7 linked regions of the Cricetulus griseus genome follow. The protein of the gene in region 1 purifies or fractionates together with the protein of each later gene. This does not show direct contact. Links are inferred from orthologs where the notes say so. Each region holds a gene or a part of one and is shown in the gene's direction. Other genes may lie near its edges. The genes, in order: Polr2f, Polr3f, Polr1e, Polr3g, Polr3e, Rpap2 and protein POLR1D.

Region 1 (3,523 bases):
GTGAGGAAGACAGCTCCAGCATAGTCTAGGCTTTAGTGCTCCTTACTCTGCAGGATCCCCTGCCCTCTGGTGGTGCCCTTGCTGCCCATGGTTCACAGACCGCCAGACTGATTTCTGTCTTTGCTTAAGTGCTGAAATGGTTGGATAGCTTCCATTGGGTTCAGTGTGGCCTGCTAGCACCACCTGGTGGATGATGTCGCTCACTACTTGCTAACTGGGTGGTTGACATGCTTGTTGATTGGTGGTAGCTGCAGCACCAGAGTCACTTGAAGCCCACACTTGAACTTTGCGCGTCCATAGGGCACTGATGAAAGATGCCTTTCAGTTACTCCTGTCCCATCTGGAGAGACCAGGCTCAGGCAGGCCAGGACAGCCATGCATGGTCTGTAAGGCCTTATATAAAGATGGATTTCTTTTGTTTTCTTGGTGTTAAGGACTAAATCCAAGGCCTTACATGTTCTACTGCTGGCCATGTTTTGGTACATTTTGTTATTCAGGAAAGACACTTGGTTTCTGCCTTTGGGAAAATTCAGGCTTTTGAGGATAGCAGAGATCAGAATAAATAGTCAGTGTAACTCTCAAACTGGTTGGTCTCCAAAGTCACCCAGCAGGTCTGAAAGTACAGTCTTCAGAACCCTTCATTAGAAATTCTGTCCCAGGGCTGGAGAGATGGCTTTGCAATTAAGAGTTGCTGCTCTTGCAGAGGGCACAGGTTTGATTCCTACCACCCACATGACTAACAACCATCTGTTCCTCCAGTTCCAGGATGCTCAATGTCCTTCAAAGGCAAAACACCCATACACATAAAATAAAGTAATTAAAAACTTTTAAAGAAGCTGGAAGGTGGTGGCACACACCTTTGAGCCCAGCGCTTAGTAGGCAGAGACAGGTGGATCTCTGTGGGTTTGAGAACAGCTTGGTCTACAGAGCCAGTTTCAGGACAGCCAGGGCTGCACAGAGAAACCCTGTCTTAAAAAATAAATAAATAAATAAATAAATAAAATACAAAATCTGTCCTGATGATCTGGAGAAGCCATGGACCCTGGATTTGGCGTACTTCTTAGTAGCCCTGAATTTATTGGTGTAAGCCCATCCAGAGTTATCAGAGTTGTCTTTCTTAGGAGTTGACATCTCCCTGTTTGGTGTTGGTGCCTCTGCTTGGACCAAGCATCGGCTGGGGTCTGGGCACGCACAGTGGCCATGTGTGGTCCTAGGCTACTGGAAGCTCATGGTCTGCTGTGGACAGTAGTCTAGTGGCTTTGATGCCACAGAAGGCATATGTAAAGTAACGAGCACTGAAGACAGTCATTTCCAGAGTGGGGACACTGAGTCTCAGGCTTCTGGAGAGAGGGACTCAGAGGAGAAATGATATGGAATGTGCAAGTGCCTGAGCTTTTTTGCAGTGGCTGTGACAGAGTACTTGAGATGAGGCAGGTTCCTGGCTCAGTACATTTGGATCACAGTTCTGGGGGTGGGAGGGTCCAAGAACTAGGTACCTGCACCTGATGAGGCCTCAAGCTGCAACAATACACAGCAGAGTGCCACATGGTAGGACCAAGCAACCCCACTTGCCTGGACTTCTCGTTCTCTTCTTATAAAGCCACTTGTACCCTCACAGCGGTCCCACCCTCCTCCAGTACTGTAATCATGCTGACTTAAGAACACAGGGGACACTTAAGAACCGTAACACAGTGGAGGAGAAAGGCATAGAAGTTTGTTAAGGGTGCTTGGATGGAGGATGGATGGGGCCAGGCTGGAAGAGTGGTTGGATTTACATTTAAATTCCTTCTGGGGAAGTTGCTGTGAAGGGCTTGTGAGGTCGGACTGGTGTGGTCAGAATGAAGGACCTTTTCTGATTGAGTGTCACACTTAGATGATATCGTGTGTTACATGGGATATGCCATAGCACAGTGGTTAGGAGCAAGGCCTGTGTGTGAGCGGGTCACTTACCTTTCTGTACCTCAGTTTCCTTTCAAAAAAATAGTCAAAGTAGGTCTCCCCTCAAATAAATAGAGAATGTCAAGGTAGATAATCATGAGTGGCATGGAATCTTCTAGTCTTTAGGGTTTTGTTTTGTTTTGTTTTGTTGTTTTGTTTTTGTTTTGTTTTGGTCATCATTTTGCTAGTGAGGCGGGGAATATCTTTTTTTTTTTTTTTTTTTTTTTTTTTCCAGACAAGGTTTCTCTGTGGCTTTGGAGGCTGTCCTGGAACTAGCTCTTATAGACCAGGCTGGCCTTGAACTCACAGAGATCTGCCTGCCTCTGACTCCTGGGAATATCTTCTTTTTTAAATGAGGTTATTGGGATGTGGAGAGAAATCTAGTGACTTGTCCTTGGAGGCACAATTTAAATCCAACCTGCTGGTCTTCTCTGCTTTGTGGCAGCTCCCTGTGCAGTACTATGATCACCACTGCCTGCCTAGGTGACCTTGCTAAATGAGGATCAGGACACTGTAGTCACCTTCTCTGAGCTTTATCTCCTGTGTCTGTCCCTGCAGGATGTGTGCCCCTGTGATGGTGGAGCTGGAGGGGGAGACAGACCCTTTGCTCATTGCCATGAAGGAACTCAAGTAAGTGCCTCAGACAGTGGTCCCTTCCTCCAGAGCCCAGCATGCAGTTCTCAGGCAGTCTGTGTAGGGCAGTTGGTGTTTGATTCTGTTGATCTCTGGCTCATTCATAGTCAGGCCCCGGAAGTGGAAGGAGGGCATTTATGTGACACACATCTCTACCACCTGTCCTCTGCTCAGAGCCAGGGCACCAACCCTCATGTCCTGTGACTTCTCCCCACAATAGGGCCCGGAAGATCCCAATCATCATTCGCCGTTACCTGCCAGATGGAAGCTATGAAGATTGGGGCGTGGATGAGCTCATCATCACTGACTGAGCAGAGCTGCCAATTGTGCCTGGGCAACCCTTCTGTACCCACTTTATACATGTAAATAATAAATGTCACCTTCCCACCCAACTATGCCTGTTCTCTGCAGAGCTGCCACCTGCTGCTTCCTTGTTTCTGTCCTGCTGCAGAGAGTGGGCCCACATTGAGGTGGCCCTGGGACTGTTAGTTCTTTCTGAAGCACCAGGGCCCTTGGCCCCTTGGGCCCCCCCTCTTCCCTCCCTCTATCTCCCCACGCACCAGAGCAAAAGCTGCTGCAGGGGAGACACCTCAGCTGCCTTCTCAGCAGACAGATGAGTCTTTGTGCCCAGGGAGCTTGTTGCCATGGAAACCCCCAATTTCCTTTCCAGTGGGGACTGGCTGCAGGGGCTTCTCCCTTCTCAGGAGTATCACAGAGCAGGTCTCATCAAGCCAGCCATTGTTCCTAGGGACCTGCCTCGAGCTCTTATCAAGGACTCAGATCCCCTTTCAGGAGTGGTGCCCTAGCAGGAAGTATGGGGGTGCAGTGATCCCCCACTGTCCCCAGGCAGAGCCCTGCTGGGCAAGTCAGCAAGTGGAGCAAGGACCAAGCACCTGTCCAGCTGTCGTGGGCCAGTGCCACACAGTGTTCTCCATGGCCTTCTCTCTGGTCT
Region 2 (4,631 bases), on another chromosome or scaffold:
ACTGTATTACATGCTTTACACCTAATAAAGGCACACAGATGAATACGTCAGAAGACGGGAGCCATTTTAGATGGGCAGATAAATTGAATGAGGCAGAACAGAATCCACACTAATATTCTGTCCTTGGTTCCTTCAAGATCATTTATTTGCTCTTCATTGCCTTCAGCCAGAGCACACATACACACTCACTCTCCCGACTTCAAGGCAATTCATTACATAAGGGAACAAGTAGCTTTGCACGCATCAAGGATTATTTAGAGGCAGCTTTCAAAAGAAGGTCTACGCCCCACAGTCTTACCTTCGCCATTGCAGTATATTGCAAATCAAAGCTGCAAAGACTGCAGAGCATGCGTTCTCAGGAGAAACGAAGCTGACATGAATATAAACCAATAAACACAAGATTCCTATTCCTACTGTTTTGTAAATAACATCCAGATAGAGACCTTATGCGTCTTTTCTTTGATGTGGGGAGGAGTTATCGTAGCACAGCATTTGTACCTTGCACTGCTGTTTCAATTATGGCTACGTAATCAATATGGTTACATAATTATTCAATTATAATGTACATATTCATCCTATTTTTATAATAAACATTTTCACCCTCATTTTTAATTACAATTTGTCATGCAATAATAATTTGCTGTTCAATGGTGAGGCTATTTTTTTTTAATTTGGTAATTGGAATTCTGATAATGAACATTGCGTTTTGACATACCTTGTTCTGGAAAAAATGGGCTAATTAGATTTTAAAAGACGAATTGCCAGTTTGAGGACCAAGAATAAAAAAAAAAAAAAATACAGGTACTTCACCCTTCAGAAATGAGGCTGGACGCGGAGGGATTTGCCTATGATGACATTTCCTTTCCAGTGAGTCAGTTAAAATAAAGATAGCCGAAAAACTAGATGCTAAATAAACACAGAGACTAATTTGCTCACGGTTAGCTATTAGCTGCTCTTGGAAGGCTGCGGTGGTCAATGGATCTCACGAGGAGGAGATGAAGAAGGCTGATTCGCTAGTCCAAACCGCAGCCTGCTGTCAGTGTCATGCCACCAGCATCTCCCAACATCCGTCACCTGGACCATCTCCTCGATGCCCAGACCAGGACCCGCTGCGTCAAGCCCTCGGACTCGCGAGGCAGTCAATGACGCCTGAATCCCTCCCAACCGAATGGGTGAGGCCCTCCTCCTCACCTTCCTCCAGCCTCAAGGACACTGATAAGGACCCCCGACGTACCTTAGCAGCCGCCAACCGGGTGTGTCTAGTCTTCTACGCCCGCTGCACCACTGCACCTCTGCGGCAGCTTGCGTTACCAAAGACGCTGCAAGCCGCGCCCGCCTACGGGGAGCCGAGCCGATGATTGGCAGGGAAATCGACTGCCTAGCAACCAGCTCCGCCCTTGTCTCTGGGCTGAGGAGTCTGTCTGGTACCCGCCCCCGCCTTCGTCTGCAAGGCTTTGCTATAGGTATCCAAGAATATGCCTTCTCGGCGGCTGGAAGGGCCTGAAAGGTTGCGCTCCTACTCACCGTACGGGAGCCAGAGCCTTTAATCCGACAGACACTGAAGTTCCGGACAGCAGAAAGGAGACCTTGTGGCGACACTGCTGAGCAGAGCGGAGCAGGCACAGCACGGACGCCCCAGGCCGACCTGACGAAAGCCCGGCGCGACCGGACGAAGAAGGACCCTCGGCCGCCGGGCGCGCGCCTCCCCGGCCCCCGGGGCGACTTTTTCTCAGGTCTCCAAAACCGCCCTTATGGCTGAGGTGAAGGTGAAGGTGCAGCCACCGGACGCGGATCCGGTGGAAATAGAAAACAGGTAATGCAGTATTCCCGACTCAGGGTGAGCAAGTCAGCCGGGCAGCCGGACCCCTTCTCTCGTAGGCCCGCTTAGTGGCCGGAGCGGGCCGGGTGAGCACGCGGGAGCCGAATTGCGGGGTTCTAGACGCCCCCCTCCGGAATTGGGAGAGCAGAACTCTTTAGTAGCTGAAGAGCAGCGTTGACAGCTTGGAACCTTATGTAACTGGCTGCGCCAGGATTCTGTTAGGGTAGTGAGGACGCACTTGGAACCTGACGACGGCCAATGCCTGAAAAGAGACCCGCATTTCCCCTGTAGTCCTTGGTCATGTTTGAATTCATGTTCCATCTCAGGGTTGCTTGGTGTCCAACGGAAATTCCATAAGAGAACGTACGGGCCAAGTCAGGGTTCAGTTTGTGATTTCAAAGCATCATTGAGCCAAGTAACTTGAGTGAAGAGTGCCTTAAAGCCAATACTCCCCTGTAGCGTGCAGATATTTTTGAATTATAATGTAGGTAAAAGACAGCAACTTTCTCATCAGTTGTGGATAATACATTTATTACTCCTAAGGAGATATTTGAATTTGTTTGGAAGGGATAATTTTGCACACAGACCCCAGTTGTGTATCCCACACATCCCATCCCCGTATTCCACATTTGCCTTCTGTGACAGACCTAATGGCTTCATTTTGTTGTACTTATTCCCACTGATAATGTATCTCCCTCATTTGCCTTTTGAAACAAGCAAACGTAAATCATTAATACCTTTATTCCCAGAATTATAGAATTGTGCCACCAGTTCCCTCATGGAATCACAGATCAAGTAATTCAAAATGAAATGCCTCACATTGAAGCCCAACAACGGGCAGTGGCCATCAATAGACTGTTGTCCATGGTAAGGTGAATTCAACTAATTCATGTAATTTTTTGTATATTATGATTTTCCTTGCTTCCTGTCACATAATTGTGATGGTTAACTTTATGTGTCCACTTGACAGGGAGATGAGATTCCTAGGTATCTGGCTATATGCTGTTTCTGGGATGTTTTGGAACGTGGTAGTATTTGAAGTGTTAAACTGAGTGGGTAGGTGAGTGGGCACCATCCAATCTAGTATCAGCCTAAGTAGAACAGATAAATGGAGGACCAAGGAATTTACTCCAGACCTACTTTGAGTTCTTCTGTCTTCAGGACTCTTTGTTCTTAGGCCTTCAGATTCCATCTACACCATTGACAGTCTGTCTCTAAGGCTAATGCATCAGATCTATGCCATTGATCTGTGCCACTGGACTTTTTGAGTCTCTGGCTTGAAGGGGGGGATGTTACAAAACTTCTCACCCAACATAATCACATGAAGTAATCATAGCATGGTAAGCCTCTTTTTAGTGAACCAGTACACTAATTGAAAAGCCAAGATTGTGACTTGATTCCAAACCAGAGAAAGATTAAATTGTCTGAATTGAAAGAGAAAACAATTATGTGCCGTTTGACAAGATGAAGAAATATGTACAATTCTGTTATAGTTAATTATATTATTAGCTTAATTGACACAAAAGCACACATGGATGTAATTTGTTCTCACCTTCTTTTGCTTTCTGCTGATAGCACCTAGCTATTCCCTATAAAATATTTCCATTGTGATTTTTCTGTGAGTTATCACATAGCCTGTTCATTGGGTATCACAATGTCATTCAGAGCTTTTCAAGAGCAGGGAGAAGTCCCCCTGAAGGTCTTTGGGAAGAAGTATAGCCTCAGCTTCCAGAAACAATGCCATGGATTTTTCAGTGAAGCCCAAGAACCTGAAGCCCTAAAGCTTCTACTTCCTCCAATGTTTGAAAAACCCCACCAAGTACTGCCCCATGCTTTAAATCTGCTTATGTCTGTCTTTCTCAAGCCATTGAGTTCTCTTTTTCTTTCTTTCTTTTTTTTTTTTTTTTTTTTTTTTTTTTTTTTTTTTTTTTTGTTTGTTTTTTGAGACAGGGTTTCTTTGTGGCTGTGGAGGCTGTCTTGGAACTAGCTCTTGTAGACCAGGCTGGTCTCGAACTCACAGAGATCCACCTGCCTCTGCCTCCTAAGTGCTGGGATTAAAGGTGTGCGCCACCAACGCCTGCCCTGAGTTCCCATTTTCTGAGGGCATTTTGGTTTTATTTTATTAGCAGTTAGTTAAAGGAGTCCTTAAAACTTTAAAACTTCCTGCCTTGTATTCTGTCTAAAGCTTTGGCTAGGGATCAGAATTTGGCAAACTTTCTGTATGAACTGGTAATAAAATATCCTCTGTGTCCCATCGGGTTTCTGTCACAACTGTATTTCTTGTCATTTTAACAAGAGGCAACCACAAGCCATGAACAGGGATATGTACACATGTGGGTGTGGCTTTTTCTGATGAAGTTTTATTAGTAAGAAAACAAGCAGTGGCCTAGTGACTTTTGTTTTCACCGAAAGAAAAAGAAGTGCTGGAGATTTCTGGGCTTCCTTGTTATCCTTTAGGACTCAGCTCTGCTGCTGTCTCCAGGAAGCTACCTGAAGCCCCCAGGTTGCGCCGTAGTCATTTCTCTGAGTTTGTATCCACCCTTGTTTCTCTCTTAAAGCCAACCAGATAGTGTTGAAATCATCTCTGTGCTCCCTTTTTAGAATTTGTTTTGCCCTGGGAGTGTAGCTCGGGGGTAGAACACTCACCTAGCTTGCATGCTGCCCTGTGTTCAATCCTCAGCCTTATAATTATGTCAACAAATTGTCCCTTTAGCAGCGGGGGTCAATGGTACAGTATAGGTGTTTAGTGAGTGACTAGAATAGACTGAATAAATGACAGAAGGAAACTTCTGAATTCAGTTTTTGTGGTCCC
Region 3 (4,433 bases), about 280 Mb from region 1:
CTCATTTGTTCAATATTCATTTGTTTTACATTTACATACACCTGTACACACTGTGTAAGCTCTCTTCTTCCACTAGGTGGGTCCTGGGAAGACCATCAAGCTTGATGGCAAGTGTCTTTATCCACTGAGCTATCTTGCCAGCATTCTCATTGAACATTTATTGAAAATCTCCATTTGCACAGGACCTCCCAGGAGTTGGAGGTGCAGAAGTTAAAGGAAAGAAATAAATGTACTGGCTGGCGTGGTACATGTCTATAATCTCAGCACCGGGCAGAAGGATGAGGAGTTGATAGTCACCCTCAGGTGGGAATTTGAAGACAGACTGAGCCTAAAGAGAATAAGGGACCTCAGCCCCTTTCCCCTTCATACTTGGCCACCAAATGAGCAGTTTTGTTTTACTACACACTACTTCTTGGGAACTAGCTAGCAACTAACTAACTATCTAACTAACTAAATAAATAATTTAAAATGAAATGTGTTTCTAATTAGCTCCAAAATTAGTTATTAAGTTCCAATAAGCTTAGTGTGGAAAAGACTGACAGAAGAAGCTGATGAATAATTAGAGAATGAAGCCCTCTTTCATCTCTTTCCTTTTCCTTTCTGAAAACAATCAATTGAAAACACTTGGGTAGGATCAAAGAAAGTAACCTTCCAGTCAGAGTTGTGACAGCTAAAAGCAAAGCATAGTGTGTGTGTGTGTGTGTGTGTGTGTCAGAGTTGTGACAGCTAAAAGCAAAGCATAGTGTGTGAGTGTGTGTGTGTGTGTGTGTGTGTGTGTGTGTGTGTGTGTGTGTGTGAATGTGCTTGTGGAGACCATGTGTGTTCAGGTGACAAGGAGGCCAGAAAAGGAAATAGGATCTCCAGTTACCTGAGCTGGAGCTGCCCTGCCTAACAAGATTGTTGGGAACTGAACCCGAGGGAGAGCAACAAGTGCTCTTAACCACTGAGCCATCTCTCCAGCCTCAGGGAACACGCCTATCCTGGCACTCGCTCTGGAGACCAGGCTGGCCTCAAACCCACAGAGCCTCCTGCCTCTGCCTCCCGAGTGCCTCCACCAACGCACGGCCTGAGTATTCTAAATTTCAACTTGGCCTTATCAGGTCTTGGAAAGGTGAGAAGAAAGACAGTCCTCTACCTAGATGATGATAAGTCAGAGGCAGCTCCACGCGAAACCGAGGCTGAAGACGCTGTGTTTCGGCGTTTGGCTAAACCTTAGGGCGTAAGCGGGAGCACTAAGCCAATCAGGTACTGCACCTCGAAGAGGCCCTCCTACCAGGGGCGTGGCCACCGCGGAAAGAGCCAAGAGTGGTCCGGGACGAAGCTCCACCACGCTAGAGGCGTGGTTTCGCGTTTTGCGTGTTCTGGGCAGGTCTCAGAGTGTCACTTCCGGTGTATGCGTCCGCGTGTGAGCCGGAGAGCTCATGGCTACACTGGAGTCTTCCGGGCTGGACAGCCAGAGTAGAGACATGGAGACAGAGGTGCAACAGAGTGCAAGGTGGCTGTACTGTGGGGAGCCTGACGACAGGCAGAAAGCTGTGCTGGGTAAAGACTGCGGGACCGGAGCGGAGTTTCGCTCAGCCCTATCCCCTTCTATCTGGGTACCGCGTAGCCCTCCTGCCCACTGCCTGGAGCTGGGACAGAGCCTCCGCTATCCTCCCTTTCCTCTGTCGTGACTTCACATGCGAGGACACTTCTCAGGGCAGTGCCCAGGACTTGGAGATTTCACCAGGTCTCTCATTCGCCCATTTTCCCCTCCACGGAGCAGAGTTCCCTTTCTTCTGCTAGTTAATGACATTCCCTCCGTCATTTTCTGCACAGAGGCCACCCCCTCCCCATCTCCTTTTTTTTAGTACTGGACCAGGACTTCCTTCAGTCTCCCTAAAAGTGGGACATGAGCTCTCTTGCCTTCGCCCTGGGTTCCCAACCACAGTGTAGTTCTAAGCCACCCCACTCTGCTGGTCTTGCCCTCATCTCATTCTTGGGTTACACTTACAGTCCAATTCTCCAATGGGAAGCTGCAGAATCCAGGCAACATGCGCTTCACCTTGTACAACAGCAACGACTTGGTAAACCCCAGGCTGAAGAATCAGCGGATCCTGGTAAGGGCTGCAGGTACAGGTAGTCTGGGCTCTGCAGGGCTCAGAAGGCCCTTGGTGTGGGCAGATATGGGAGGGCCTGAGGGGAGAAAAGGAGGAAAGCAAATGGGACTGTGGCTTCACCAAGGTGCAAGATTTTGGGTGAAACGATGACTTTTCACATATTTGGGAAAAAGGATTTCTCCGTGTAGCTCTAGCTATACTGGAACTCACTGAGTAGACATAGCTGGCTGACCTCCAATTCAGAGATCCGCCTGCCCCTGCCTCCACAGTGCTGGGATTAAGGGTGTGGGCCACCACCGCCCAGTTTGAAGCTTTTTAATTTCATGCAATCCCAGGTGGCGCCCCCCCCCAGAACTTTATCACTTTGAAGCTTCCTTATGGTATTTGGGGTCCCCCAGAGACACCCTAGATTCCTGTAGATATGATGGGGTAGGTCACCTGGAGAATATCTAGGGCTGGTCATTTTGGTCCTGGATTCTAAGACTTCTATACACGTCAAAAGGAGGCCATGCCCAGTGCTGATTGTAAATTGGACACTCCTTTGTTTTTCAGGCAGCAGAAACAGACAGGCTGTCCTATGTTGGAAACAATTTTGGGACTGGCGCCCTCAAATGCAACACTCTTTGCAGGTAATGGACAACTGGGCAGTGACAAAGGTGCTAGGAGGGTTGTAGTAGTGACAGAGACAACACTATCTTCAGTCTTCATTTTGGAGGTAGTTGAGATCTGCAGGTTTGCTAAGACTTTGTGTTTCTAGACTCACAAATTCCATATACTGTTGTGTAGACACCCTTAGAAAGGAAAAGATGGCTTGCGTTTGTCGAGTTCCTAAAGACCTCATTATGACATTATGTATGACTGTCCTATCCCAAAAGACAGCTATGTCTGCTGATTTAGAATGTGTGATCATCAGGTCAAAGCTTGCCTCAAGTTTGCCTTGGGACAAGAGGATTTTGTATCTTCAAGGCCTCTGGGTTGGAACAAAGCAGCCCTCCAGCACTGTCAGAGTGAATGACTTTGGCAACTTTGCTCTTCGCTCACCTCTGGTGTCTTCTGTGTCACAGCATCATCCAGCCTGAAGAATTTATGCATGCCAAAATTCTGTTTAATTTTAGATTCTTATTACCTCAAAAGGGTTTCCATTAACAGCAGTGGCTTTAAATTTGTTTTGTTTTGTTTTGTTTTGTTTTGTTTTCTGAGACAGGGTTTCTCTGTGGCTTTGGAGGCTGTCTGGAACTAGCTCTTGTAGACCTGGCTGGTCTCGAACTCAAGAGATCCTCCTGCCTCTGCCTCCCAAGTGCTGGGACTTTAAATGTGATTGGTTATCAGAACCATCTGGTGGCTTTTTCAGTCCACAACCATTTTATGTCTCCTTCCTCTTCATCACCTACTGTTTCCTCTCCGTGCAGGGATTATTGTTACATGTGAGCAAGTGGATGCCTTTTTCTGGCAGAAAGAAGCTAGGGATATGTGAATAGGAAAAAGAGAGGATTGTGTAAATAATAACCTTTTGGTTAAACTACTATTGTATCATTACTTTTTTCCTCAGACACTTTGTGGGAATTCTGAATAAGACCTCTGGGCAGATGGAAGTATATGATGCTGAGTTGTTCAACATGCAGCCACTGTTTGCTGGTAGGTTCCGGAAATGAATACTCTGTTAAATGAATATTCAGTTAAATACATCGTTTGGGTTTGTTGGATTAGTTCATTTTTGTTTTCTAGAAGGCATTTGTAATTTTTTTCTAAATGGCTTCCTCCACATATACCTTTTTGAGAGAAGGTCTCATGTAGACCCTTGAATTTTCTGGGTAGCTGAAGATGACGTTGGATTTCTGGTCCTCCTGCCATCAACTTGAGAGTGCTGTGTATGGTGAGAGGTTTATATGGTAAAGGGGTGTGAACTCAGAACTTGGTGTCTATTTGGCAAACACAGCTTATCCTCAACCATAATAGGATGCCTTCTTGCCGAGTGTTCTCATTTTTCTTTTTTCTTTTTAATTTGAAAAGGTATATGGATATATAACCTTTTGTGGGGCGGGGCGGGGGGGGGGGGGGGTTGAGACAGGATTTCTCTGTGTAGCTTTGGAGCCTGTCCTGGCACTCGCTCTGTAGACCAGGCTGGCCTTGAACTCACAGAGATCCATTTGCTTCTGCCTCCTGAGTGCTGGGATTAAAGGTGTTCGACACTACCACCCAGCAATATTTTTTTTAAATGAATCACTTATTGATTCCTTACATTCTTCAAGTACTAAACTAAGGACTGTATGACAAATAAGAGCCCATCTCTTCAGCATTTACAGATATTGTCTCAGAAACCAGCCTTTAAAGCAA
Region 4 (3,896 bases), about 74 Mb from region 1:
GTGGTAAAGATAAAGATGGAGCTGTTTGCTTAACTTAACGCTATTTGATTTGGCAACACTAGAAATACAGATTCTCTGGTCTTTACACCATATTGAATGAATGCTGTACTTTCAAAAATATAGGTTTGTGGTTTGTATTTGTTTTTGTTTTTAATAAAACTATTTAGTTTATAATTATGAAATAATTAGTGGCTGTCTTTCCAGATCACAGAATATATTTTTCACAGAGTAAAATAAATTATATAATTGAATTTAGCTATAGGCCTTGTTACTTACGATTTAGTTAAATTAGAAAATGCACAATACCTTATATTAATTAATATTAATGTAGCATCGTGAGTGTGTCAGATATATCAAAGGTTTGTGAAAATTTTGTTCACTTGAGATTTTCCAAGAAAATTGACAGTTGAGAAATTGTACACAAGGTATTGCTGTAATAACTGCCAAGGCAACACAAGGTTTGATTTTAATTTGGTCTGCTTGAGTGAGGTGAGTTGCAAGCAAGATAGCTTGATTTATTTAAAAATTGAGTATTATGTGCTTAAGAGGTGGCTCAATAGATAAAGCATTCACTGTGCAACCATAACAACTGCAGCTCCAAGCCCCAGCATGCACACAACGTCAGGTGAGCCTGTAGCTACCTATAATCCCAGCACCTGGGAAACAGAGAGAAGGGATCCCGAAGGCAAGCAACGGGCTGCCAAAACTAGCCAGAACCCGTTTTACTAAATTAAATGGAGAGTGACTGAGGAAGATATCCAATGTCAGCTTCCAGTCTTCACATGCATGTCTACACACACGAACATATTAATGCACACCCGTGCATTCACACATATACAAACATTCAAAGGTGATCCATTTAAATTGGGTCTGTTTAATGTGGCCTTTTCTTTGCCTTTGATTTTCTTCACTTAAAATTGGAATTAAAATAATTTTTTGTTTGTTTTGTTTCGGTTTTGGTTTTTCAAGACAGGGTTTCTCAGTGTAGCTTTGGAGCCTGTCGTGGAACTCACTCTGTAGACCAGGCTAGCCTCAAACTCACATAGATCTGCCTGCCTCTGCATCCCAAGTGCTGGGATTTTAAAAGAATTTTTAAAGTAAATATTTAGGGAGTTAAAGAAGAGCTAAGTTGAAGTTATTCTGGATGTAAAATAGCTTTTCTTGTTCATGAGTAATTGACAAAGTCTTAAAGAGAGATGGAGAATGCCTACACATTTTTATTAGTTACTCTTCTAATTACTGGGTTAAGACCAATCAGAAATTAGTCATGTGAAGCCTAAATTATGAAGATGCAAAATGATTATTGTACCCAGCTCCCAGAAAACCTGTGAAATTCTGTCCCTTATGTAAAGTGAGGGTCATCTAACTTAGTGAACTGAGAGCAACAGAAATAAAAATGGGTCACCTTTGTCAATTGAAAAAAAAAAATGGCAGTCATGAGGTGTTTATAAAATTCAAATTGTGAGGTTGTGGCATGGTGAGTTTTCAAGTATCAATAGAATCATCAAGACTCCCCAACTCTGTTTCTCTTCCTTATTTCTAGGATGGCTCATAATGGCTGGTGTGTTCACTTACTTTCGTTTTAATCCCCTTTTCACAACCTTCCAGATGTATCACGAAGCAGAAAATCTTGGGAATGGGAAGTAATGAAAGACAAAGGAGATGGGAAGGGGATAAACTAAATCATGCCACACATTTTAGGAGGAGGTAGGATAGGAAACATGAAAAGCAAGCATTGTAGATTAGAATTCTAACCCCAGGTTAGCAAAGCCCAATGATTAAGTCACAAAATTGAAGAATGGGACAGCATGGTGGGTGACCTTTCCTTGAGTTTCTGAGGTGGGAGGCTGGCGGGCGTGTGTTAATTTAGGATTAGCCTAAAATGATCCATAATTCTTCTCTTTGGGCTGGGTATGTAAGAATAGTTGTTTCAGTGGAAATTAATGAATCTCCCTTTACCAGGAACTAGAAAAGAGAGGCGATGGTGAAAAATCGGATGAAGAGAATGAAGAGAAAGAAGGGAGCAAAAAGAAAAATAAAGATGGCGATGACGATGATGATGATGACAATGATGAAGCAGAGCAAGAGGAGTACGATGAAGAGGAACAAGAGGAGGTAAAAGTCTGAGGATGATGAGAGCTGCTCCCTAACTTCAGAGATATCCTATGGCATGGAATGTCAGTCAGCATACAAAACCACGCCTGTAATACTAGCAAACTCAAGAATAGGGTGCGAGGGGTTTGAGGAGCTGGGGCTACAAGGTGAGACCTTGTCACAAACACAAAACCCTAAGTTTATTGAACCAAAAATGCATTCTTATCCTGGCATCAGGTGCTTGGTATGAAATGATAGTAATACAAAATGAAAACCAGCAGATAAGAGTAACTTGATTGACAGCTTTTGCAAGTAAGGAATTAAGGAAATTGATGAGAGTAGTACAGTTCATACTTACCAACATAAGAAGCTAAGACAGCAGCTGAGGTACCAAAGGGCATAGGCACATACGTCTAGAAGGAAATCCCAACAAGGCCATCATGTCTCAAATTCCCAAGTTCATGTGGACAGAAGCAGTGTGACAGCTGCCGAGGTATTGGTAAACTAGGTTGCTTCACTTCAATTTTAGAATCAATATTTTTTCTATTTTTTTCACCTTTTTGTGATGTCTATAGTTCTCTTTCTACTGTTTTGTATATCTGCATTTAACATATTTAATCTCTTGTTGATCTCGTTCTTTGCTTTACAGAAGCTTCTCAGTTTTCAGAGGTCCATTTATTAATTGTTGCTCTCAGAGTCTGTGCGACTGCTGTTCTCTTTAGGAAGTGGTCTCCTGTGCCTATGCGTTCATGTGTATTTCCCACTTTCTCTTCTATGAGGTTCAGTGTGGATGGATTTATATTGAGGACTTTGACCCATTTGGATTTGAGCTTTGTTCGTAGCGATAAATACGGATCTTGCGTTCTTCTACCCATTGACAGCCAGTTATACAACACCATTTGTTCAATCTATTTTCTTTTTTCCATTTTATATTTTTAGCTTCTTTGTCAAAAATTAGGTGTTCATAGGTGTGTGGGTTGATATTGGGGTTTTCGATTCAATTCCTTTTGTCTACCTGTCTATTTTTATGCCAATACCAAGCTTTTCATTTTCATTACTATAGCTCTATAGTAGAGCTTGAAATCAGGGATAGTGATGCCCCCAGATGATCCTTTATTGTACAGGGTTGTTTTGGCTATCCTGGGTTTTTGTTTTTCCATATGAAGTTGAGTATTGTTCTTTCAAGGTCTGTGAAGATTTATGCTGGGATTTTAATGGGGGTTGCATTGAATCTGCAGATTACTTTTGGTAGGATTGCCATTTTTACTGTGTTGATCCTACCTATCCAAGAACATGGGAGATCTTTCCATTTTCTGATATCTTCTTTAATTTCTTTCTTTAAAGACTTGAAGTTCCTGTCATACAGGTCTTTCACTTAGTTGGTTAGAGTTACACCAAGGTATTTTGTTATTTATGGCTATTGTAAAGGAGATGTTTCTGATATCCTTCTCAGCCCATTTGTCATCTGTATATAGGAAAGCTACTGATTTTTTTTTAGTTAATCCTGTATCCTGTTACATTATGGAAGGTTTTTATCAGTTGTAGGAGTGCTCTGGTAGAATTTTTGGGGTCAGTTATGTATACTATCATATCATCAGCAAATAACGAGAGTTTGACTTCTTCTTTTCTAATTTGTATCCCTCTGATCTCCTTTTGTTGTCTTATTGCTATAGCTAAACTCCAAATACTATGTTGAATAGATATGGAGAGAGTGGACAGTCTTGTCTTGTTCCTGATTTCAGTAGGATCACTTTGAGTTTCTCTCTATTTAGTTTGCTATTGGCTGTTGGGTTACTGTACAT
Region 5 (4,324 bases), on another chromosome or scaffold:
CTCAAAACCACAAATACACATATGTATGTGCAAAAGTATATGCAGGAATGAGTTTAATTCTAGGTGGTGGGAATATGGGTGACTTTTTTCACTGTGTCTTTTTCAGTCTTTTAACGTATGGGGCTGGTTTCAGCGAGTAAAGACACTTGCCTGCAAGGCAGACAATCTAAGCCGCCCCCACATGGTGGGAAGAGAGAATATACTCCAGCAAGTCTGTACTCTGACCTCCACAACATGCCGCCCCTATAAACAAATAAATAAAATAAATGTAAAAGCCTGTATGTGTACATCAACATGCATAGATACTTACAAATGGTAAAAACAAAAGAAAAATGAAAAGCCTGGTGAAAAAACTAGCCAGCTCTCTATGCGTTAGTATGTTAATAAATATTTATATACCAACCCATACACAATATGAACAAAACTGTTTTTCCATGGAGATACACATCCATAGAAACCGACAGCGAAAGATCCGAAAGGATGTATAATCAGCCGATAATGGTGGTTACGAGGAAACTAAAGCAAGTCAAAGGTTAAAGAATTATTATGTTGAATATTACGAAGATTATATGCGAAGTTTTAATATTGTTTGCGTACTAAAAATTTAAACACGTGACTTTTCAGACAGAACTGTGCAGATGTGGGGTCATGGTTCGCTTCTCAGAGCTGGGGTGAGAGTTACTGCCAGGATCAGTCTCCAAGACACCTAATTCGGGTTGTGTAGGTGACGGCGTGGTTTAACTGGACGCGTTAACCATCAGAACGCGATTTAAACTGCTTTTTGCTTTAAAGCTTATTTGGAACAAGCTCGGATATAAATAATTTAATTTTAATAGTTGGCGTTTTAACAATATTGTTTGTGACAATTTCTATCAGGAGTAGATAAAACACAAATACAACCCCCGAAAAATTATAAGAAACAAACAAAAAAAATGTATGCATGTGTTAGAACATTAAGTAGCTTCTTAGAAGGCCAGATGAGCAGCTGGGTAGCGTGGCCGAGCGGTCTAAGGCGCTGGATTAAGGCTCCAGTCTCTTCGGGGGCGTGGGTTCGAATCCCACCGCTGCCAGGATCAGTGTTTTTTCCTACCTTAACCCTGAGCTACTTTTTGCCGCCCCAGCGGCGACCTCTGCAGTTGGTTCTCGTTCTCTGCACCACGAGTAGCTCGCCGAAGGGGCGGGCCCGCGCGCTCTGGGGCGGGGCATTGTGGGTAAGAGGAAGCGCGAGGGCCGGCCCCGCTCCCCCCACGTGTCCGCCGGAGTTTCTCCAGCAGCAACATGGCCGCTGCCTAATAGGAGACCCGGCCGCCACCGTCTCTGCAGCCCGCGGGTCCCTGGGCCGTTGCCGCCGCTCGCGCGCGGCCCTGGCTGAGAGGTGAGTGCCGACTCGGCAGCCCCGGGGTTCCGGCCGCAGCCGTCGCACTCGCGCGGAGGTCTGGGCCTCTCTGCGGAGTAGGCCGGAGAGGCCCGCGCCGCTGCGTGCTGAGGGGCCGCGGCCTCCCGGGACCCGGGCGGGGCGCACGGGCAGCCGCCTCGCTTTCCCGGTCGCTCCGCACGGCTGGACGTCGGGGAGGCGACGACCGTGGGGCCCGCGCTGACTCAGGCCTCGGCCGCGCTGCCCCGCCCGGGCCTGGCTCCGGAGCCGCACCTGCGAGAGCACTGGTGCCCGGTAGCTTGCGGCTCTCGGAGGTGTGGGAAGGGCGCCTGAGCACCGGCGACATGGAGAAAGCTATGGGACGTCAGGGCCGCCCGCATGGGCCGGGGTCTGCGTCCTAGCTGAACCGGGTCAACCCTTGCTGGTGGTGCCGGGCCCGGGGCGCCTCATTGATTGATCTGTGCTTAAGCAGAGTCAAAAGGCGACTGCTCCTCAGACCCTGGGACTCTTCAGTCACGGGGGGTGGCGGTGCTTAAACCAGGTCGTCCTGCAGTTGTAATTGCCTTTAGGGTTTCTGGGTTTCGGAGCGAAAAGGTATCTGCGAAATGGGGATAACGTGATTCCTGTTACAAGAGGGTAAGATGGGTGACATCTCCTGCTTTTCATTTGTGGCTGTCTTCGTTTCATCCTATTTGAAGAAAACATGTTGCCACGTAGCAACAGTCATTCATTCATGGATGTTCCACTTTTCTCTTTGAAGCCGGTGCTTTTTTTTTTTTTTTATTGCCGGCTTAGGGATGAAAATAGGAAAGGACCCAAGGTTATGCAATTCATGCTTTCTGTCAGCTGGTACGTTGCGCAGAGGTGGGATTTGAACCTGTAAGGTTTCGCACGGGAGTCCGACCTCTTACCCACTACACCATACTGCCTTTTATCAAAGATGTGTGCAGCATAGTGGTTAAGAATAAAATCAAGACTCATTGACACCTGCTAGACGGATTTCTTGATTATACTGTTCCCTGGGGCTGTGCCCTTGGGCAAATCATAAGTTGGGCACTATAAATTTTGAATTGCACAGCTAATGAGAATGAATATTTTTGGTAGTATATTGATGCCAGACAGCATTAGGGTTTAGGAGAAGGGCTGTGAATTTTTTTTTTTTTAATTTTACAAGTAATGACCCTATAACAACGGTGAAGTATAATTATTATGTCTACTTGATGGTTGAGGAATATGAAGCATAGAGAAGCCTTCGTAGAGTTCAAAGTCTAGTGCAGAGGATAGCCAACACCTGAGCAGCAAATAGAGAAGTTCCAGGTTAGGACCACTCAGGAAATAAGGGATTGTGTTAATGGTGGAAAGAGTTGGAGGCAGCTATTCAAATTGGGTTTTCACTAAACCTGTCTAGTCCTGGAGGGAGGGGCAATGCTTACATTTAAGGAAAATGAGCATCCTGAAAATGACCTGGGATTCTTGTGCAGAGGTCCTCGGGATGCGTGGGGATTGGCCTGTTGGAGGCTCAGTGATAGATTACCAGTCCCTGAGGAGATGGTTATGTGGAACCTGGCAAGATCGTGTAAGGGCTTACAGGCCCATGAAAGGGAGTTTGGGTTTTGTTTTATGGTACAGTTGAAGGGTTTCAAGAAGAGAGCAATGTGAGTAGTTACTACAGAGACGGGAGGTCCTCTGGAGAGATAGGAAAGAATGGCCCTACGAAAGCTTTTTTTTTTTTTTTTTTTTTTTTAGCTTTTTTTGTTTGTTTTGTGTCTATTATTATTATTATTTTTTTTTTTCAGATGAGGCCTTGCTATATAATAGCCTAGGATGCCCTTAAATTTCTCTCCTAAGCCTTAAATTTCCTCCCTAAGCCTCCCTAGGGCTGGTATCGCAGGCCTGGGCCACCACAGCTGACTCAGGAGGCTTATTGGATTGTTGACTTTGAAGATTGCAGGTTAAGACTTAGTGAGCTGGGCCGTGGTGATATACGCCTTAAATCCCAGCACTTGGGAGGCAGAGGCAGGAGGATCTCTGTGAGTTCAAGGCCAGCCAGAGCTGTTACAGAACTCTTGTCTCAGAAAATAAAAAAACACCACCAAAAAATGTATTAGTGAGTGATGTAAACTTGGCCTGGGGGTCTTGCCACCAGCATTTTTATTTTGCATAGGCAAGGATAGAAAATAGAAAACATCACTGTGTGGCATGTAACAATCATATTACATGAAGTACTGTTTCAGCTGTGGCATTCCATGTATCTTCTGCATCATTGTTGGGAAAAGATTATTGTCAGTCATAGGCTGAAACTTTGAAAGCCACTGAATTGGCTCCTGTTGGTTGGGAGGCTAACAAGAGGTGATGACCTTTGCAGGTAACCCAATCAGGTGTGGTGCCCAGAGGGAGGAGCCTCTGTCATCCTGCAGAGAGGGCACCTGATCCTGCCTGATTCCAAGACTGGCAGAATCTCAGCCGTGAAAGAATAACTAGAGCTGAAGACTCTCTTAGGCCACAGCCTCTTTTTGCATGTGCTGTGTTTCATTGATTCCCCCTGAAGTCCTGTCTCAGTTGGCCACAAAGTACAGCTGCCTAAAGGGCAGGTACTTGTTTGACCCATATCTGTGACACTTGGCAGCCAGTGCAGATGCACAGTGGCAGCCACTCAGAACTGTGCTTAGATGGTTCAGATCTGTTGTGATGGCCCATTTCCTACCAGCCCATCCCCCCCTTCCGTTGCTTGGAATCCTTGTGGAGCTCCAAGAATCCTACAGTCCACATTTTCAGGTGCCCAGTTCTAGGGAGCAGGAGTACAGCAAGACATAAAGTAGACTGTGTAGCTTACAGCTTAATGGCAGGAAGGACAGATACAACATAATTGTCCCATGGTGATAAAGTGCTCTGGAGGCCAGAGAAAGGAAAGGAGTTGGTGAGGGGTGGGGGCAGGCATGTTTTCTTTCA
Region 6 (4,395 bases), on another chromosome or scaffold:
TGTTTATTTACAAGTAAAAAACAAAAAAAGCTGGAATTATAGATAAGGTAAATAATGTGAGTGACCACAAAGTAATTAAAGATAATCTATGCCCTTGCCATATTTTACAGGTGGTTTTAGAGAATTACTTACACATCTTTTTATTATGCACTGAAGTTCCTCAACAGCCATTCCTAATAAGTGTCCTAGTCTTGATGATGAAATGAATACAAAACACAGTTAGTTGTGATACTATGTAAATTATGTTTCATAAACTGTTTCATTCTGAATTAATAGAAAACACATAAATACAATGTAAATTTTTATAGCTTAAATGGTATTACTGAACGCTAGTGTGCTAGTCTACTAGAACATTTTTAAAGCCTCTAGTGTATTGCCTAAAGAATGAAAAGAGATTTAAAAAAGAAAAAGAACCCTAGAGAGAACTTCCTAGAAGAACTTTTTTTCAAAAGAGGAAAGTATTCCTTTCATGAAAAAAAAAAAACAAAATCAAAAACAAAAACGGTAGACCTGGCATAAGAATTCTAATCATTAGGGAATCTTTAAAATGTCCCATTGATAAATACTGAAATCCAACACAATTAAGTCACCCAAATAAGTTGAAGACTCTGACGCCCTTCACCCCATGCCCCACAAGACCTGCCCTCTCCACAGGAACCAAACCTAGTCAGTGAGATCACCGAACCACCCGAAGAGAAGGCCTTCGGTGGTGACCAGCACAGCATGCGGCCCCGGGGGCTGGTGGAATCGCTGCCCCCCAGGCGCGGACAGCAAAATCACACCCTACCGCGCCTGTGGGCTGAGCCGAGGGGGAGCCATTTCTCCCTGTTTCCCTGCCTGTTTCCCTGTTCCTACTGGGCAGAGCATCCAGGCTCCAGCACCTCGAGGGGCCTAGCAGGCGAGCCTCGCGCTGCCAGGGTCCTGATGAGCCAGCCTGGACCAGCCCTAGCCAGCTCGTCCACCTACCCGCCAGACCGCTCGCCTTCTCCACCTCCCGCAGCGCAGGCCTCACTCCTGGCCCCGCCCCTAGGTCGGGCCCGCCCCCTCCGGCGTTCGCCCCGCCTCTGGGACCCCGCCTCCTCCGGCGCTCGCCCCGCCCCTGGGCTGGGTCTTCACCCTTCGGCGCTCGCCCCGCCCTCCCTGGGCCCGTCCCCTCCGGTGCTCGCCCCGCCCCTGGACTGGGTACACCCTCTCCAGCGCTCGCCCCTCCCTCCATGGGCCCGCCCCCAGCACGGTCCGGAAGACGCATGGGGGGCGGAGCCTGGCGGCCGCCAGCGTCTCACCTTCTGACTGCGTTTTCCATGGCTGATTCTGCGGTTCCTTTCTCGCTGGGCCCGAGTGCCCCGGCCTCCAGCACCTACCGAAAGGCTGCAGGTACGAACCGTAGCCTCTTCCAGGTTTGGACCCCGAGACCCTGGCTTGAGTCTACACTGCGCGCGCGGGCTGCTTGCCCAGTCTGCCCCCGGGGGAGGGAGGGCTCCGAGTGGCGGGTGGCTGCCCCGGTGCCCTCGGGAAAGAATCCCGCGGCCTCACGCGGGTGTTCCGGGGTCTTCCCCTGCGTGGGCCGTGCTGGGGACCCCAGCACAAGGGGCCAAGAACAGGTGGTGTTCAGCCGCCTCGAATCCTGGACTACACCTCCTTTTGGACTGCTTTGGGGCCTGGTCTCTGAGGTATCAGCGCCTCTTTTTAGGCAAGCTATCTAGCATTTGGGAGACCGAGAAATGTTTATCCTAAAGCTTTAAGTTTTGTTTTGTTTTTTATTTTTTATTTATTATTTATTTTTGTTTTTTGAGACAGGGTTTCTCTGTGTAGCAGCCCTAGCTCTGTCCTGGAACTACCTCTGTAGACCAGTCTGGTCTTGAGCTCACAGAGATCCGCCTGCCTTCTGTCTCCTGATTAAGGGCATGTGCCACCACCGCCTGGCTTGTTTTGTTTGTTTGTTTGTTTGTTTGTTTTAAAGAAGTACTTGATTAAAGCTGATATGATACATGAAAAAAGCCAGTCCCCAAAGAGATTTTAGTCAAGAAAAATTGAGATGTAGTTAATTTACAGAAGCAATGGAGTTTCCTTCTTGTCTACCTAGAAATGAAATTTGTGAGAGAAAAGGAAAAGCTGCCCACAGTGTGTTATTTGGGTAAGACTGCTACATCAAATGTGTGTTTGCATTTGCTGTTATCTCTTCAATTGTAGGAACTAAACAGACAAGTGCCCTCCAACCAGAAGATGCTTCCAGAAGGTATAGCCACTTTCCTTTTATCTCATTAATTGGATCAGATTTGTTTGGTTTTATTTTCTAGTCTTGGGATTTGGGCATTGAACTATGTACTGAGAACAAACTTATGAGAAGATGTAGGGAGCACTAATAGTTCTCAAAACTTTAAGGAAAGCAAACTGGAGGCTAAGGCTGTTGGAAACTGTTGGAAACATAGTGGGCACACCATCCCTGAATTAACCAAGCATTCCTTCCCCATCTCTTCACATCCATGCTTACTGTTGTATATGCCAGACTCACTGGAACCCTTCGTCTCCTAGCATTAAATGCAGATTTAAAAACAAACCAAAACCACCCTTTACTATCTATCTCTCATGTCACAAAAGATCTCTAAGAGAGGTATTGTCTGTGAAGAGATTAAAAGTCTCCGTGACTCAACACTTCAAGATTCACTAAACTCTTCTTTCAAAATATTTTCCAAATACAAGATAGCCTGTATTTGGGTTAGTGCACTGGGACTGAGAAATGTCAGTTAAACTAACACAAATGAATATGTCATCACCAGTTGCAGTAAGTGTTATGAAGAAAAAGGAGATATGAGGCAGGGCTAATGATTTAGATTGGCAGGGGGTGGCCTGTGGGTTTTCAAGACAAGGCTTCTCTAAACCCTGAAGAGAGTAGGTGTAAAGCACACAGTAGGGATGAGAGAAGTTCAGCTAGGGGGATAGTGTGTATGAAGAGCCTGGGGTCGGGTGTGTATAACATCCCCAGAGGGAGGGAAGGAGGCAGAATTCTGTTCATGTACTATCTACTGTGTCACATGGAGAAATTTGGTTTGTCTGAGCACAGAACAGCAAGGCAGTGCTTGGATGTAAGGTTTAATTTAGGGCGAGGTGGTGTGGAGGGTTAGAGATGCTAGACGTATTCGAGAACTGTTCAGGAAAGCATTTCCTGTGGAGCTGCATAATACTTTGCATCCTAGGCCAGTACTCTACCACTGAGCTACACTCCCAGCTCCAGCTAAAATGTATTGTGAGCAGATTAGCTAGGATGACAAAGCAATCCATAAGGTAATGAAATGGTGATTGATAACAGGTGACGGATCCTCTTGATTTATTCTGACATAATATACTTCCAAGTTCAATCCAGCTAAAAAAATACAAGCAAAAAATGTACATCAGTTCACTCATTTAATAGAATGCATTTAAAAGTTAACATCTGACAGGCTTGGTATTGTCAAGTGAAATAAATTGTTTTTAATTTGTTTTAATCTGAATGTAGTAAATACCGACAGATATTATCCATATGTGAAAAAGCTCTAGTTTTAAGAATATAAAGGAATCCCAAGACCAGAATGTTTGAGTACTGCTTCATACACCACTGTCTTAGTCAGGGTTACCATTGCAGTGAGGAAACACCATGACCAAAAGCAACTTGGGAGGGAAGGGTTTATCTGGCTTATACTTCCACATCACTGTTCATCATCAAAGGAAGTCAGGACAGAAACTCCAACAGGGCAGGAACCCTGAGGCAGAAGCTGGTGCAGAGGCCATGGGGAGGTGCTGCTTACTGGCTTGTCCGAAAGGCTTGCTTAACCTGCTTTCTTATAGAACCCAGGACCATAAACCCAGGGGTAACATTACAGGCAATGAGCTAAACTATTCCCCCATCAATCACTAATTAAGAAGATGCCCTACAGGTTTGCCTACAGCCCAAAACGTTATAGAGGCATTTTCTCCCATCAAAGTACTAACCAGGCCCAACTCTGCTTAGCGTCTGAGATCAGATGAGATCGGGCATGTTCAGAGTGGTATGGCCGTAGACTATAGAGGCATTTTCTTAATTGAGGTTCCCTCCTCTCAGGTGACTGTAGCTTGTATCAAATTGACATAAAACTTCCAGCACAGCCATATTAGTTTTCATCATTTGTGACAGAAGGAATAACACTGAGACAATACCCATTGGAAGCAGCTGTAGGTATCTGTCAGTCAGGAAGACAATGGCTCCAGACAGTGTGGTTGATAATTTGAGCCAGCAAGTTGATAATGACTTTTATTGATGGGTGCAAAACTGAGAAACATAATTTTTCATGAAGCTTTTCATGTTAAATATGAAGAACTGTAATCTGTGTTTATATCTTTTGTATTTCTTTGATGCAAAAGTGGTCTTTATGGAGTTAGTGA
Region 7 (4,691 bases), on another chromosome or scaffold:
AAATGCTTCCAAACTGAGATGCATATTTTGGAAATGATCCTCCCCTTCCCCCAAACACGTCAAATCTGTCTCTAGCCTGAAGGGAAAGGTGAGAATTCTCCCGCAACAGGCTGGGGCGGGGAGAAGGATCTCTGCTCATCTCTTCCAGGGAACAAAACCAGAGGGCAGCCAGCTAGCGCTGCTTTAGCTCCCGACAACGTGCAGACGCGAAGTGCAAGAACTCGTCCCCAGAGCTCCCCGTTTTAAAAAGCGAGCGTCGCGCAGACCCGCAGCGCGGCGCCGGGAACCCGCACCCGCACCGGGCCGGGCCGGACTCCACGCGGCCCCCGGCGGTTCCCCTTACCCCAGCGCCACACCCTGTCACCGCCCGCACCTGAGGCGAAGTAACTCACTCAGGGAAAGCGGCGGGCTCCTCGCAGGAGCGCTGACGAGGACGCCGCCCGGCTCCACTCCGCCGGGACTCACCGCCGCCGATTTCCTGGCGAGAAGCAAAGTCCGGCCAAGACTTCACTTCTCAACCGCCCCTGCTGCCTTTCCCCTCGGGGGCGAGCGCAGGGGCCCAACCCGACACGCACCTGAGCCAATCAGCGGCGGAGAAAGGCGGGACTAAGAGCGGGCTCTGAGTCTTTCGGCCAATCAAGGAGCTCGAGGGGCCAGACCGGCCCTGCTCATCACTCCCGAGTTAGAGTGAGCACGCTCCGCCCTCCGCCATCGCTCCCGGCCGGATTCTCTCAGACACACACAGAGAAGACGCTCGGGAAGTGTCTGCTTGCACCCCGGAGCGCCGCGCCGGCCGTGGGACAGCTGAAGGGAGGGGAGGGCTGCGGGACCAGGCTGAGGGAGAACAGGTGGTGCGGGGTGGCTGACGTGTAGGTGTGCGCTAGAGGACAGCTGGGGTGGGGCGGGGACCCAGCCTGGCCAGGGTCAGGTGGGAACTGGGAGGATGCACCTGAGGGGAAGAGAAGGGCGGCTCCTTGGGATCAAAGGGGAAAGGAACCGCAGGTCCACAGTGGGTAAACCCGAGCTCCTGGGGAAGGAGGGCGGTGCTCCAAACTCATACTTCTCTCCGAAAAGAAAGACAAACGCTGCCTTGCACCTGATGGAGATGTGCATTTGCACCCCAGGGAGAAAAATGCTCCCTGTAAACCTCAGTATGGTCAGAAGAGTCATCTCTGCACACAAGTCTCTCTGCTTTTTCAAGGTTGCAAGGTGCCCTACGAAAGGCTCCAAAGGACTCCAGTCCGGGGGGGGGAAGACAGTCCCGGGGCAGTACCGTCCCTGGTGGGTCTAGCAGATGAGAGGTTCAACTCCGACCCTAAACAGCAGTGTCTGGGGGCGACAGGCGAGGGACTGCTTGCACCGTAGCCTCCTAGCTTCCGCAGTTCCAGGTGAGCGGTCCGGCCCGCACGGGGCGTGGCTGGGGCGTGTTCTGTTTTCGCCCCGCCCCTCCATCGGGTCCTGCCGCGCCGCTGCGGCTCCGCCCCCCTCCTTCCGTCATCCGCTTCTTCCGTCGGTGGTTTCTTCCTTCCTGCTTCGCCCGCATCTTTCGCGATATGGGGAAGAGCGTCCTTTTCGGCAGCACCACCTGAGGATTTCCTGGAGCCGCCCCTCGCGATGGAAGAGGATCAGGAGCTGGAGAGGTAAGGTTGGAGGGGAAGAGTGGAGGGGGCGGCGGGCCGGGCCAGCGAAGCGGGTAGCGACCGGGCACGCGGCCGACTGCGGCCCGGCGGGGCGGCTAGGCCTGACCCGAGGCGCTGGGCAAGGGAAGATCGAGAGTAGAGCCGAGCGGGTTGGGAAGAGGGAGGAGAAGCGGTGGTGGGTTTGTTTATACAGAAAAGCTCAGAGGGACACTAGCCATCCTGGAGGGGAGAGAAGTTGGGAATCCAGCTCTAAGTGCCAAACTGCCATCCCCATTAGAACTGCCTCGTGTAAGGTCACGCACCGGGCGGTGCTGGCATGTTAAGTCGGCTAAAGTTACTGCAACTCCGCTCTGCAGACTGCTCGTAAATTCTTTCTGACCGCCAAATTCTTCCTCCTATTAAACTTTTCACTTCCTTTGACTTACTAGTTTCCTTACCTCTTTCAAAGGGAAGCCATAACTGAGCCTGCCACCTTAATAACTTGTGGTTGCCATTTTTATGCTAAAGTAATCGTGTTTTTTATGCCTGTCAACTCCCATTTCATCTTTCAGCAGGGCCTACCCTATTATAACTCTGCCCCTTTCTTTTTCTCTATTCAAAGAAAGATTTTGCAAACATTTGTGTTTATTTTCTGAGATGACTCCCCTTGTGGGCAATATATCAAATGGAGTAGAGAGAAACTCGAGTTAAATATTTATGTATAGAAGTATCGGAGGCAGGAAACTGAGGTGGTGAATCTTAAAAAGCTTAATCACAAAATGGTATCCCATATGATCTCATTCTTACAAAAAAATATGTGTGTAGAAAAATGTCAGGATTGAAGACCTCAATGGCCGAAGGCGAGAGGAAGACAGCCTTGGAAATGGTCCAGGCAGCTGGAACAGATAGACAGTGTGTGACATTTGTACTGCACGAGGAGGACCATACCCTAGGAAATTCTCTTCGGTACATGATCATGAAGAACCCGGAAGTGGAATTTTGTGGTTACACTACGACCCATCCTTCAGAGAGCAAAATTAATTTGCGAATTCAGACACGGGGTACCCTTCCAGCTGTTGAACCGTTTCAGAAAGGCCTGAATGAGCTCATGAATGTCTGCCAACATGTGCTTGACAAGTTTGAGGCCAGCATAAAGGATTATAAGGATCAAAAGGCAAGCAGAAATGAACCCACTTTCTAGTCCCTCGTGCAGGGTACAAGGAGGATCACCCTCATGATGGTGCAGATCCCAAAGCTAGAGTTTGTGATTGAAGCATGTTCTGTCTTATAGGAAGGTGTGGTTCCAGCTGTTGACCCATTACAGCTGTTGGAATCTCTGCAAGTATATTTGCCTAATAAATTCTCTCTTTTGTTTAAACTAGTTTGAGTGGTTTCTCTTCCTTGTACCTAGGTGATCCCCAAGGATGGTGCCACCCCTTACTTGGACCAACACAGAAAGTGAACGGATAATTGGGCCAATTTGAGGGTTTTGATCATGGATTTTTGTTTGTTTGTTTGTCTGTTTTGTTTTTGTTTTTTTCGAGACAGGGTTTCTCTGTGTAGCTTTGGAGCCTATCCTGGCACTCCCTCTGGAGACCAGGCTGGCCTCGAACTCACAGAGATCCGCCTGCCTCTGCCTCCTGAGTGCTGGGATTAAAGGCGTGCGCCACCAATGCCCGGCTTGATCATGGATATTAAAAGGGCTATTCATTTCTGTATGATTGGAGTGCTGAGGAAGGGGAGATGGAATAAAACATAAACCGTAGACTGTATTTAAAAAGGCAGGAAAAGATTGGCAGAGGGACTTGAGTTTTTTTTTAACCATTTACTTTGTGTGTGTGTGTGTACCAGCATGCCATGACACAGGTGGAAGTCGGGGGACAACTTGTGGGAGTTGATTCTCTCCATCATATGGGATCCATTTAGAGTTTGTCAGGCTTGGTGGCAAGCATCTTTACCCACTGAGCCATCTTGCCAGCCCTGGATTTTTATTAATGTAAATGCATCCTTTCATATGATTGGTAGACCTAGTAAGGATGAGGATAATTAGAAGGACTCTTGAGAATTTTAACTTTTCATGAGAATTTTTTGTTGTTGCTTTCTTCATGAGAATTTGAATTGGCATCAAGGTCCATCTTTGTAGTATTTGTAGGATAGATAACCAGTTTACTGCTTGAGTTCCAGAGCACTCATGAAATATAGAATTATGATGAGTAAACCGAATACTTTTTTATTGTTTTGTGTGGGCATGTTCGTGTGGACACTTGTATGCATATGGAGGCCAGAGATCAGCCTTAAGGATGGTTGGTTCATCAGGAACCACCTACTTATTGTTTGTTTTGAGACAATCTGGCTGGCTTGGAACTCACTTTGTAAACTCAAAGATTTACTTGCCCCTGCCTTAATAATCTCCCACATGCTGGGATGAAGGGAGTTTGTTAATTAACTAGGCTACCTGACTAGAAAGCCCTAGGGGCCCCACCTGTGTCTGTCTCCTGAGCACCGGGGATTACAGACCTACACATCATCCTACCCAACTCTTTTATATGGGTTCTAGAGACTGAACTCCATCCTTGTGTTTTCACAGCAAGTTTTTTACCACCTGAGTTGTTTCCCTGGCCCCAATTTTAATGGAAAAAAATGACTTATCAGGTAACATCTTCATTCCTTAGGTAGGTATGTAAATAGAGCCCAGGGTTAGGTAGAAGAGATACTATTTGATAGAAAGTCAGAATTTGGAGGAGGAGAATTCTGTATGGAAGAAATGACATTTTGGAAACTTAAAAGATTAGCAAAGCATATCACATTCAAGAATCATGTGTTTATCTCTTCTTCAGTCTGTCTTGTAAGTATCCTACCCAAGTGTGACTTAATTTGCCCTAAATATCTGTCAGCTCTTGAGTCCAGTCCCCCTATTCTCTAGAGCTTTGTGCTTTGGGGTCTTTGTTGATGCTAGTCTTCAGTGAAAACTTCTTTATCTGCTAGGGATGATGGTGCAGTCTATAGTCTTGGCATTGAAGAGATAGAAGCAGGAGAATTTGAAGACCAGACTAAATATACATAGCAAGAACT

The links.
Region 2: the proteins of Polr2f (region 1) and Polr3f purify together in Homo sapiens (affinity purification with mass spectrometry; 4 studies listed by BioGRID and IntAct, with this or other methods). This does not show direct contact. The link is inferred for Cricetulus griseus from reciprocal best matches to the Homo sapiens genes POLR2F and POLR3F.
Region 3: the proteins of Polr2f (region 1) and Polr1e purify together in Homo sapiens (affinity purification with mass spectrometry; 4 studies listed by BioGRID and IntAct, with this or other methods). This does not show direct contact. The link is inferred for Cricetulus griseus from reciprocal best matches to the Homo sapiens genes POLR2F and POLR1E.
Region 4: the proteins of Polr2f (region 1) and Polr3g purify together in Homo sapiens (affinity purification with mass spectrometry; 3 studies listed by BioGRID and IntAct, with this or other methods). This does not show direct contact. The link is inferred for Cricetulus griseus from reciprocal best matches to the Homo sapiens genes POLR2F and POLR3G.
Region 5: the proteins of Polr2f (region 1) and Polr3e purify together in Homo sapiens (affinity purification with mass spectrometry; 4 studies listed by BioGRID and IntAct, with this or other methods). This does not show direct contact. The link is inferred for Cricetulus griseus from reciprocal best matches to the Homo sapiens genes POLR2F and POLR3E.
Region 6: the proteins of Polr2f (region 1) and Rpap2 purify together in Homo sapiens (affinity purification with mass spectrometry; 4 studies listed by BioGRID and IntAct, with this or other methods). This does not show direct contact. The link is inferred for Cricetulus griseus from reciprocal best matches to the Homo sapiens genes POLR2F and RPAP2.
Region 7: the proteins of Polr2f (region 1) and protein POLR1D purify together in Homo sapiens (affinity purification with mass spectrometry; 4 studies listed by BioGRID and IntAct, with this or other methods). This does not show direct contact. The link is inferred for Cricetulus griseus from reciprocal best matches to the Homo sapiens genes POLR2F and POLR1D.

Annotation. Positions count from the first base shown.
Region 1 is NC_048595.1:376,267,676-376,271,198, forward strand, and holds the end of Polr2f (DNA-directed RNA polymerases I, II, and III subunit RPABC2), read left to right. Parts: intron 1-2,496; coding exon 2,497-2,568; intron 2,569-2,791; coding exon 2,792-2,882; 3' UTR 2,883-2,963; downstream 2,964-3,523. UniProt on the Homo sapiens protein: DNA-dependent RNA polymerase catalyzes the transcription of DNA into RNA using the four ribonucleoside triphosphates as substrates.
Region 2 is NC_048599.1:34,466,218-34,470,848, reverse strand, and holds the start of Polr3f (DNA-directed RNA polymerase III subunit RPC6), read left to right. Parts: upstream 1-1,638; 5' UTR 1,639-1,751; coding exon 1,752-1,813; intron 1,814-2,568; coding exon 2,569-2,686; intron 2,687-4,631. UniProt on the Homo sapiens protein: DNA-dependent RNA polymerase catalyzes the transcription of DNA into RNA using the four ribonucleoside triphosphates as substrates.
Region 3 is NC_048595.1:98,430,169-98,434,601, reverse strand, and holds the start of Polr1e (DNA-directed RNA polymerase I subunit RPA49), read left to right. Parts: upstream 1-1,372; 5' UTR 1,373-1,421; coding exon 1,422-1,542; intron 1,543-1,995; coding exon 1,996-2,099; intron 2,100-2,651; coding exon 2,652-2,728; intron 2,729-3,648; coding exon 3,649-3,734; intron 3,735-4,433. UniProt on the Homo sapiens protein: Component of RNA polymerase I (Pol I), a DNA-dependent RNA polymerase which synthesizes ribosomal RNA precursors using the four ribonucleoside triphosphates as substrates.
Region 4 is NC_048595.1:302,134,099-302,137,994, reverse strand, and holds part of Polr3g (DNA-directed RNA polymerase III subunit RPC7), read left to right. Parts: intron 1-1,962; coding exon 1,963-2,115; intron 2,116-3,896. UniProt on the Homo sapiens protein: DNA-dependent RNA polymerase catalyzes the transcription of DNA into RNA using the four ribonucleoside triphosphates as substrates.
Region 5 is NC_048596.1:79,735,348-79,739,671, reverse strand, and holds the start of Polr3e (DNA-directed RNA polymerase III subunit RPC5), read left to right. Parts: upstream 1-1,216; 5' UTR 1,217-1,375; intron 1,376-4,324. UniProt on the Homo sapiens protein: DNA-dependent RNA polymerase catalyzes the transcription of DNA into RNA using the four ribonucleoside triphosphates as substrates.
Region 6 is NC_048600.1:2,358,831-2,363,225, forward strand, and holds the start of Rpap2 (putative RNA polymerase II subunit B1 CTD phosphatase RPAP2), read left to right. Parts: upstream 1-1,232; 5' UTR 1,233-1,247; coding exon 1,248-1,374; intron 1,375-2,190; coding exon 2,191-2,236; intron 2,237-4,395. Other genes in the region: Glmn (glomulin), read right to left, coding at 133-190, 664-725.
Region 7 is NC_048597.1:82,928,266-82,932,956, forward strand, and holds the start of protein POLR1D, read left to right. Parts: upstream 1-1,513; 5' UTR 1,514-1,614; coding exon 1,615-1,640; intron 1,641-2,444; coding exon of another isoform or gene 2,445-2,820; exon of another isoform or gene 2,821-3,000; intron 3,001-4,691. Other genes in the region: Polr1d (DNA-directed RNA polymerases I and III subunit RPAC2), read left to right, coding at 1,615-1,640, 2,445-2,820.